Linked DNA regions of Arabidopsis thaliana. The protein of the gene in region 1 interacts with the protein of each later gene in a pairwise test. Each region holds a gene or a part of one and is shown on either strand. Other genes may lie near its edges.

Evidence for each region.
Region 2: the proteins of CYCP1;1 (region 1) and CDKB1;1 interact in a two-hybrid assay, tested with the Arabidopsis thaliana proteins (one study listed by BioGRID).

The regions. Positions count from the first base shown.
Region 1 is NC_003074.8:23,321,744-23,326,469, forward strand, and holds CYCP1;1 (cyclin p1;1), read right to left. Parts: upstream 2,539-4,726; 5' UTR 2,151-2,538; coding exon 1,750-2,150; intron 1,665-1,749; coding exon 1,400-1,664; 3' UTR 616-1,399; downstream 1-615. Other genes in the region: RANGAP1 (RAN GTPase activating protein 1), read left to right, coding at 3,365-4,726.
Region 2 is NC_003074.8:20,057,779-20,062,299, forward strand, and holds CDKB1;1 (cyclin-dependent kinase B1;1), read left to right. Parts: upstream 1-1,892; 5' UTR 1,893-2,103; coding exon 2,104-2,731; intron 2,732-2,825; coding exon 2,826-2,895; intron 2,896-3,098; coding exon 3,099-3,237; intron 3,238-3,379; coding exon 3,380-3,472; 3' UTR 3,473-3,710; downstream 3,711-4,521. Other genes in the region: FIP37 (FKBP12 interacting protein 37), read left to right, coding at 92-139, 517-570, 845-1,006, 1,152-1,221, 1,305-1,360, 1,463-1,618; AT3G54190 (Transducin/WD40 repeat-like superfamily protein), read right to left, coding at 3,981-4,222, 4,323-4,521. UniProt on the Arabidopsis thaliana protein: May control G2/M (mitosis) phase progression. Plays a role in regulating seedling growth in darkness via regulation of hypocotyl cell elongation and cotyledon cell development. Plays a role in stomatal development. Required to suppress endoreduplication.

The DNA.
Region 1 (4,726 bases):
GAAAATTAGCGTAGCTATCAAATTTTAGGATAAACTTTTAACGGTTTTATCTCACTCAAATTAAAAATTTTAAGCAAACAAAAAACTTCATGCCTACTTCGAACGTCTCTATTCATATAAACAAGCATTTTCTACAAAGGTAAGTAGATTAGTGAATCCAGAAAAACCAAAACCTTAATAACTAACCAACCACCTAAATGTTTTTCTTTTTATTCCATTTTTTCCAAGTAAATTTTTTTAGTTTTCGAAAATAGATTTCTTTTAACATTCAAAATTAAAACCAAGCCTGCGCCTTTAGGATTTAAGCACACGATCAGTATATTTTTGTTTTATGTAAAAACATAATATTATTACGTTTGTGTCAAACTTAATACAAAATATTTTTGTGTCATCCTCCTTCAAGTCATTCCCCATTCCATCGAGTTGGTTTCTTATTTTACATGATGACCAAGAGATGTTTTTACACCGATCACAAATATTTTGTTTATATATGGTAAATCTGTTTTTGTCTCGTTTTGATTTCTGTATACAGCAGACTCGTGTTCTTAAACTGGAACCCAAATGTTGTACTTGTGCCGAATGTGCGAGAAAGGTGAAACGAGCCATGCTAAACGTTGAAGGTGATTGATTATGCATATATTTACTACCGTTTCTGATATATATAATTAGCAATGGTGGATTTATGATTAGGAGTGCATTCCATCAAGGTTAATGCAAACGAAGGGACGATAGAAGTGAACACTGATATTAACCGGCAAAAGAGCCGAGCTTTTGTGGGAACCTGAACCAGAGTCTCCTGATGACATTTCTATGGCAACTCCGCTCGCCATGCCATCAACTTGCCGACGTCAGGTCCATGTCAGCACCTTTGACCAGACCGTACACCTACAGGACTTGCTTGACAAAAACGCTAGTGGGATCAAACACATGAAAGATTACCGACAAGAGGGTCATCAGTATAACGTTTAAGGAGTCACATGATGATCCCAGGGGCTACCACTCACGGGACTCACTATCTCCAATCGCACCACCGTCCTCTGACCCTAAGAATAGCAATGGCGGTGGTGGTTCAGGTGCTTGTGGTAATGTTGAGGCTCCTGCTACTGCTGCTTAACCACCGCCCAAGATTAACGATACTCCTTGTAATGGCAAAGCAGCAGAGCCTCCTGTCGCTAATGTGAAATGCAGCAGCAGATGGAATAGTTGCGGTTTGATGTAAAGTAGAGATCTATTTAGTAGTTTAACCAGTATCAAGGAAACTATATTATAGCAACTTCTTAAAGAATGAGTTGGTAGAAATTTTCAGATTTTCTACTACACACAATTGTCACAAACAATCAATCATGCAAAAGAATCATCACTACTAAAACACAAAATAATCCTATCTTACCCTTGCCGATCAGCGTGCTGTGGTTTGAGAGCAGAGTGAGTCGGGTGTCCTCTTCTGCCAAGTCTCTTTGTTGGCTCGGCATGCTTCTTTTATGGGCCACTCGATCTGGAAGCCGTCTCTGTTCTGCTTTTCTAACTGACAACAGTGTGTGTGAAACGTCTGAGGATCTACCTGAAGCTTGAAGTCAAGGGTAAACAACAACTCCATCTCCAATCTGTTTAACTCTCTCGTAGTCACACCTCCCACTCTTGCGTAGTATGCATTGTTGAAATACCTGCACAACACCAGAGATCAATGAATCTATGATTGAAGACTTATTTGCGTGTTGAATTTGATACCAGGTTTAGTGAGTAACATACCTATCATCGAAGACTTTAGCAGCTAACATGACAGTTGTAATGATAAGGCGGTGGACATTAAGGGGTTTGAGAAGGGCTCGGGTCTTATGGAGAAAGTGATCAATGTAGATATGCGCAATGACGAAGCAGGAGGGACTGCAGCAAGAGTACTTGAAAATGCGATCCAAGTAGTGTGCAATACTGATCTCAGGGGGAGATCTCCCGTCAAACACGGTAACAGAGTCTGGCGATCCAAGCAGAATCTTGTCATCATGATTGAGTAACAGAGATCTCTCCAGAGAAGAAGAGAGGCGTGAGAGAACAGTCGGTGGCTTTTTCAATCGTTTGCCCTCAATAATAAGTCCTAACCTGAGGTATACATCCGAATCAATGAAAGCTGGATCGGTTGCGAGAGAGTCCATTTCTCCAACGAATCTGCAATGAAGATGATGATGTGCATAAAAATGGTAACTTTGAATAGGGTTTTGAAATAGAAGACGTATGTAGAGTAAATTTCAAGCAGGTGAACTAATTCCTAATCAAGAACCTAAACCCTCTCTATATGTCTCCCTACCTACCAAGTACCAAGAATCTTGAGAGTCAAGAATTAGGAATAAAGTGGAAGAAGCTTACGAGAATAAAGTGGAAGAAGTTGGTTCGTGAACTAGAGAAGGTCCGGAGAATGGAAGAAAGCAGATCTATCTCCGGCGCTTCTCCATTGTTTTTTTTTTGCTGCTCTGAAGCTTAGAAGCTAAAAGAAGCCGCGAAGAATTGTGAAGAAGAAGGAAAGTTTCCATTATTGCCTTTTATTTTATTTTATTTAATAATTTAAGGGTTTTTGATTTTAAAATGAATAATAATAATAAATACAAAAAAGAAAGGACAGAAGGAAGGAGTGATGTGTGGTAGAGAGAGACAGTTCACCGTCGGCGAGTCCAGCTGGCGGTGGTGGGAGCCCACCGTGTCACCTTAATCATCGCTGCGCTGCCCTGTCTTTTTTCCATTATTAATTTTTAGCAAGAAGAAGACTGGGCTTTCTAAATTAGTTATTAATGGGCTTTGGGCTTTCGTGGTTAGGGTTGTGTAGGGGCTTAATCGTCATTTCGGAGATAGAATAAACCCTAATCTCCATGGATGGGCTCTCCGATGTTTGTCTTTTTGATTTTTGAAATTTGATTTTCAAAAATAAACTAAAGCATCATTGCCTCCCATTATCGTCACGCACGCAGATCAATGATTCTCTCACTCTGCTTCTCATTCACGCTTCTTCTTTGAATTCACTTTTCTATTCCTTTCTTTTTCTCCGTCCGAGAGAGTATAGAGAGACCCATTTCTTCGATCCATCCGCTGAGAAAAAAAAGGTACCGTCGTATTGTTCTCTCATGTTTCTGGGTTTCTTTTTGTTTCGAAATATATTCTTCTCGTTTGCAGTGTGATTTTGAGGGTTTCCTTGTCTAAAAAATGCAGTTTTTAATTAATGGATTTACAATAGAAATGTAGTTAGATTCTTCGACACCATCTTCGTTTTCGATTGGATCTACATGTTATGCTCTCTCTTTTTCCTTGGAATACTATGTCAGATTGAGTAATGGTTGTCCTTGTATTGAATTACAGAAGAAAACCAAGCAGTAGTAGAATGGATCATTCAGCGAAAACCACACAGAACCGTGTTTTGTCAGTGAAGATGTGGCCACCGAGTAAGAGTACCCGTCTCATGCTTGTTGAGCGGATGACCAAGAACATTACCACCCCTTCCATCTTCTCCAGGAAGTACGGTCTTTTGTCTGTTGAAGAGGCTGAGCAAGACGCCAAGCGCATTGAAGATTTGGCCTTTGCTACTGCCAACAAACACTTCCAGAACGAGCCTGATGGTGATGGCACTTCTGCTGTTCACGTCTATGCTAAAGAATCCAGCAAGCTCATGCTTGATGTCATCAAACGTGGTCCACAGGAAGAATCCGAGGTTGAGGTGAGCAAGGATGGTGATGTCTTTTTTGATATATCTGGTGGGAGCAGAGCTTTTATTGAAGAAGAGGAGGCACGCGACCTTTTGAGGCCTCTGGCTGACCCGCGTAACTCCTATACCAAAATCCGTTTTAGCAACAGGAGTTTTGGGTCTGAAGCAGCCAAATTTGCTGCGAGCGTTTTGTCTTCCATCAAGGATCAGCTGACGGAAGTGGATCTCTCGGATTTTGTTGCAGGAAGACCAGAGGCTGAAGCGCTTGAAGTCATGAATATGTTTTCATCTGCTTTAGAGGGTTCTAAGCTTAGGTATCTGAATCTCTCGGACAATGCTTTGGGAGAAAAGGGAATTAGGGCATTTGCTTCTCTCATCAATTCTCAGCATGACTTGGAGGAGCTCTATCTGATGAATGATGGCATTTCCGAGGATGCTGCACGTGCAGTTCGTGAGCTTCTCCCTTCTACTGACAAAATCAGGGTTCTTCAGTTTCATAACAACATGACAGGAGATGAAGGAGCAACTGCCATTGCAGAGATTGTCAGGGAGTGTCCATCTTTGGAAGATTTCCGGTGTTCATCTACAAGGATTGGTTCAGAAGGTGGTGTTGCACTAGCTGAAGCACTTGAACACTGTAGCCACTTGAAGAAACTTGATCTTCGTGACAACATGTTTGGAGTCGAAGGTGGAATTGCCCTGGCCAAGACTTTATCAGTCTTGACTCATTTAACCGAGATCTATATGAGTTACCTGAACTTGGAGGATGAGGGAACAGAGGCACTTTCTGAAGCTCTACTTAAGTCCGCCCCTTCTCTTGAAGTTCTAGAATTGGCTGGTAACGACATTACTGTAAAATCCACTGGAAATTTGGCAGCTTGCATCGCCTCCAAACAGTCTCTTGCAAAGCTGAATTTATCTGAGAATGAACTCAAAGACGAAGGGACTATCTTAATTGCAAAGGCAGTTGAAGGTCATGATCAGTTAGTTGAAGTTGACCTGAGCACCAACATGATCAGAAGAGCTGGGGCAAGGGCCTTG
Region 2 (4,521 bases), 3.3 Mb from region 1:
CTTTGATTCCTGACTGATGCTATCACATGTTTTCTTGACCATTACATAGAATAGATGTCGCTAAACACAGTCTTGTATTTTGTATTTCTAGTCAGCTGTTCGCGATTTGAAATCTCAACTCAAGCCAGCGTCAATGCAGGTATATAGTTCTCCCAATGTTTTGATTCTGGAATAATTTATACAATTGTGCCAACAATACAAATCGTGAAAAAAGTTAGCTGTTGAAGTAACTTGGACTTTTCTAGGCATAGTCCGCTTTTTATGCCGTAGTGTACCTTTTATGACGGTCATCCTCGACCTTGATGCATGTAGAGGGAAACCTTTTCCTTGCCTTTTAGATTTCAGTCTGAATACGATGATAAGCGCATGTTTCTTGTAAACCTTTACCTGGCATCTGAATTATTAACAAGTCTGAATAGAAGAAATGGCTATAAATTTTGAATTGCAATGGTCATTTAGCAGCTTGTCATGATCAGATAGCAGTGTAGATTATTTATTCTTTGTTTACCTTTGTAGGCGAGGAGGTTGTTACTGGATCCAGCAATTCATGAAGAATTTTCACGTCTGAAGGTCTGCACCTACTCGTTTCTATTTACCCTTAGACTACTTTTTCATAAGGATGTATTTGTCGTAATATATCCTTAGATAATCCAAACTGTATCTACGGAACAAAATTCCGCTTTCGTTATGAATGGCCTGAAAGAATAATTCCTTAATAACTGATAGCTGACACTGTCGTAGTAGATACAGTTGAGGACGAACATTCCCAACTTTTTGTTAATGTACATTTGTTGCAGTTAAGTAAAGAGTAGATGAAGTTTGATTCCATGTTTCTATTATGCAGAATCTAGTAGAGGAAAAAGACAAGAAGATCAAGGAACTCCAGGACAACATTGCAGCAGTTACTTTTACTCCTCAAAGCAAGAATGGAAAGATGCTTATGGCAAAGTGCAGAACCCTGCAAGAGGAAAATGAGGAGATTGGGCACCAAGCTGCCGAAGGAAAGGTATAGTTTGTTCTACTCTCAGTCTTCAATCTGGAATTATATGAATTATATAGTAAAGCAGTAGTCTTCTTCAACCTTTGTAAAACATGATTCCCTGAAAAGGGTAAAGAAATTGATGCTTGCCTATGTTCATGTGGAATGGCAGATTCATGAACTAGCAATAAAGCTTGCAATGCAGAAGTCTCAAAACGCGGAACTTAGAAGTCAATTTGAAGGTAAGTCATATGTTGATATTAAGTTATAGCAAAGATTTTTGTAGAGTTTGCAATTTGGATTTGAGGATTTTTGTGGAATGCAGGACTGTACAAACACATGGAGGAATTAACTAATGATGTTGAGAGATCAAATGAAACGGTGTTGATCCTTTTCTCTTATCTCTTAATTCCTCAAGATTTTTCTTAAAACGGAAGAATGATTATGGTTTTGTTGGAAATATGTGACTTTGATAAATCTCAGGTGATAATATTGCAAGAGAAACTGGAAGAGAAAGAGAAGGAGATAGAGAGAGTAAAGAAAGGACTGGAAATTGTGTCTGAGCTAGTAGGTGACAAGAAAGATGAAGTTGATGAAATTGATGAAGATGCAAAAGAAGAAATTGCTGGTGGAGAATAGGAATTTGTAGCTTTCAAAAAATGTTTTGTACATTTTGAAGTTCAAAATCACATTTCTTCATTCGTTATCTGTTTCATGAAACAGAAAGTTCTAATCTTCATCTTCTATTAATATGTTTTAATTCGCACCATTGGTGTTTCGATATCGATATGTGGCTTCCCGATATAACTCGTGAAGAATTTGAACTCGTCAACTCACGCAAATCATCTGAGTAGATATCAGATTAGACCAAAATAAGTGAGTCCAATTAGTTTTCCCCAAAAACATTCACAGAGGTCACGACTTTAGGTTAATCTGTTGCAGTTGTCACGAACGAATTCAAAATCCAAAGGAGCGGGAAAAACGAAGTGACGTGGAAGTATCTTAGCGAAAGCATCTCTCTCTCTCTCTCTCACAATCCATCATCTTCATTAATCTGATCAAATAATAGGGTTAATCAAAAGTCCAGAAACCAACACAGTTCAATTTTACGAAACCTCTCAGAAATGGAGAAGTACGAGAAGCTAGAGAAGGTCGGAGAAGGAACATACGGGAAAGTCTACAAAGCGATGGAGAAAGGAACTGGTAAGCTTGTTGCTCTGAAGAAAACTCGTCTCGAGATGGACGAAGAAGGTATTCCACCAACTGCTCTTCGTGAGATCTCGCTTCTCCAGATGTTATCAACATCGATCTATGTTGTTCGATTACTCTGCGTCGAACATGTTCATCAACCATCAACCAAATCTCAATCTACCAAATCCAATCTCTATCTCGTTTTCGAGTATCTCGATACTGATCTTAAGAAATTCATCGATTCGTATAGGAAAGGACCTAATCCTAAGCCTCTTGAGCCTTTTTTGATTCAGAAGTTGATGTTTCAGCTTTGTAAAGGTGTTGCGCATTGTCATAGTCATGGTGTGCTTCACCGTGATCTTAAACCGCAGAATCTTCTTCTGGTGAAAGATAAAGAGCTTCTTAAGATTGCTGATTTGGGTCTTGGTCGTGCTTTTACTGTTCCTCTTAAGTCTTATACGCATGAGATTGTTACTCTTTGGTATAGAGCTCCTGAAGTTCTTCTTGGATCTACTCATTATTCAACTGGTGTTGACATGTGGTCTGTTGGTTGTATCTTTGGTTAGTAGTCTCAATTATGCTTTTATGTTTTTGAATTCGTCTCTCTGCGATGTGATTTTGTATTTATGCTGTTTCAATCTTTGAATTTGTATAGCTGAGATGGTTCGGAGGCAAGCTCTTTTCCCTGGTGATTCTGAGTTTCAGCAATTGCTTCATATCTTCAGGTATTTTGAATTTACCTTCCATTACTTCTTCTGGTTTTGTCCTGTTTCAGTGTGAATTGCATCACTGAATGATATGCTAGCTTACCAATTGAGAACAACTGATTCTATATAGTCCAGGTTTCTTTGACCAATTATTCAATGGATTTAGCATTCTTGAATAGAGACTATGATCTTTACTAATGGTTCCTATTTGGTTCATGGAGGTTGCTAGGAACACCAACTGAGCAGCAATGGCCGGGTGTTTCCACACTGCGTGACTGGCATGTTTACCCTAAGTGGGAGCCGCAAGACTTAACTCTTGCTGTTCCTTCTCTTTCACCTCAAGGAGTTGATCTTCTCACGGTAAATAACTCCCTGATGACCATAGCTTTGTTGCAAAGTTGCTCTAATATTGTTACCTCTTGCTTCTGCTTCCCTCTTTTTTTCCTAAGCTGAATTGCTTGGTTAAATCTTTCTGATTGAGCTTATGTTTGTACAATTGCAGAAAATGCTCAAGTACAATCCAGCCGAAAGAATTTCAGCAAAAACAGCACTTGATCACCCATATTTTGACAGCCTTGACAAGTCTCAGTTCTGAAGTTCATTGCTGTATCTGTTGTCATCGTCTTGGTGAATTTAAACATTTGATCTATCTTTGTTTCCGACACATTAGTGTCTTATGTTTGGTTTAGAGATTTGTAGTCTTTCAGAAGAAACTGGTAAAGCTTGTATTCTCAAGTGAATGTAAAACACAATGGTGTGGTAGCAATGAGATGATTTTCTATCAATCGCTTGTTTTTGTGTAATCATACAAAGTTGATGCTCAACTATCTGAATCAAGTCAATTTTGAAAATTAAAGTGAGACCTTACAGGTGGAATAAAGGGTCTTTCATAGAATTGTCAAAACCCAAATGTTACGTACAATGGTATTAGTGTACACAACTGGCATTCTGACGCGCACACTTGCCCACAAATGGTTTACAACACAGATGGCTGCTCAAAGACACTAAGTTAAAAAGATTTATCGCTACACACAATTGAAGGAAACCAAATGATACATTCGTAGTAGTAGTAGTAGCAGCTAACGATGACGATGTATGTGAAATCAATTGGACCACACATGAACAAGGCCGTGTCTGTTTCCTGTGTATATCTCATTGCGTTCTTCGTCGTAGAAAAGAGCGGTTATGTCTTCCAAAGCTTCAGCTACAGCGTTTCTTCTTTGCTTTGAGTTCTTTCCCATACAATTACTGCTGCTGCTCTCATCATCTTTTGGAGGCCCACTGCTTGGTGTTATTTTAGCTAAGCATTTCCCAGTCAATATATTGCTGATATTGATTGATCCCGCTGGATCATCCCACAAAACACCAATAATCAATATCCATCAATGAGATTTGTTAGGTTATAATATCTGGTTAATATTATCTTGAGGGGTTATTTTTCTTACCATTTCCTTCTATCCACTGATCTTCGGTATCTGCTTTGCAGTACGAGATGATCAGATCTTGATCACTTGTAATGTAGATATTATTAGTGTTACAGTCTGGATGCCATAGAAGATGGTCCTCAAAGGAAGTAACGAGCTCTCCGCGAAAGTTCCACACAGAAACGTTCCGGTTCCTGAATGTCAGAAACAACTGGTTCTC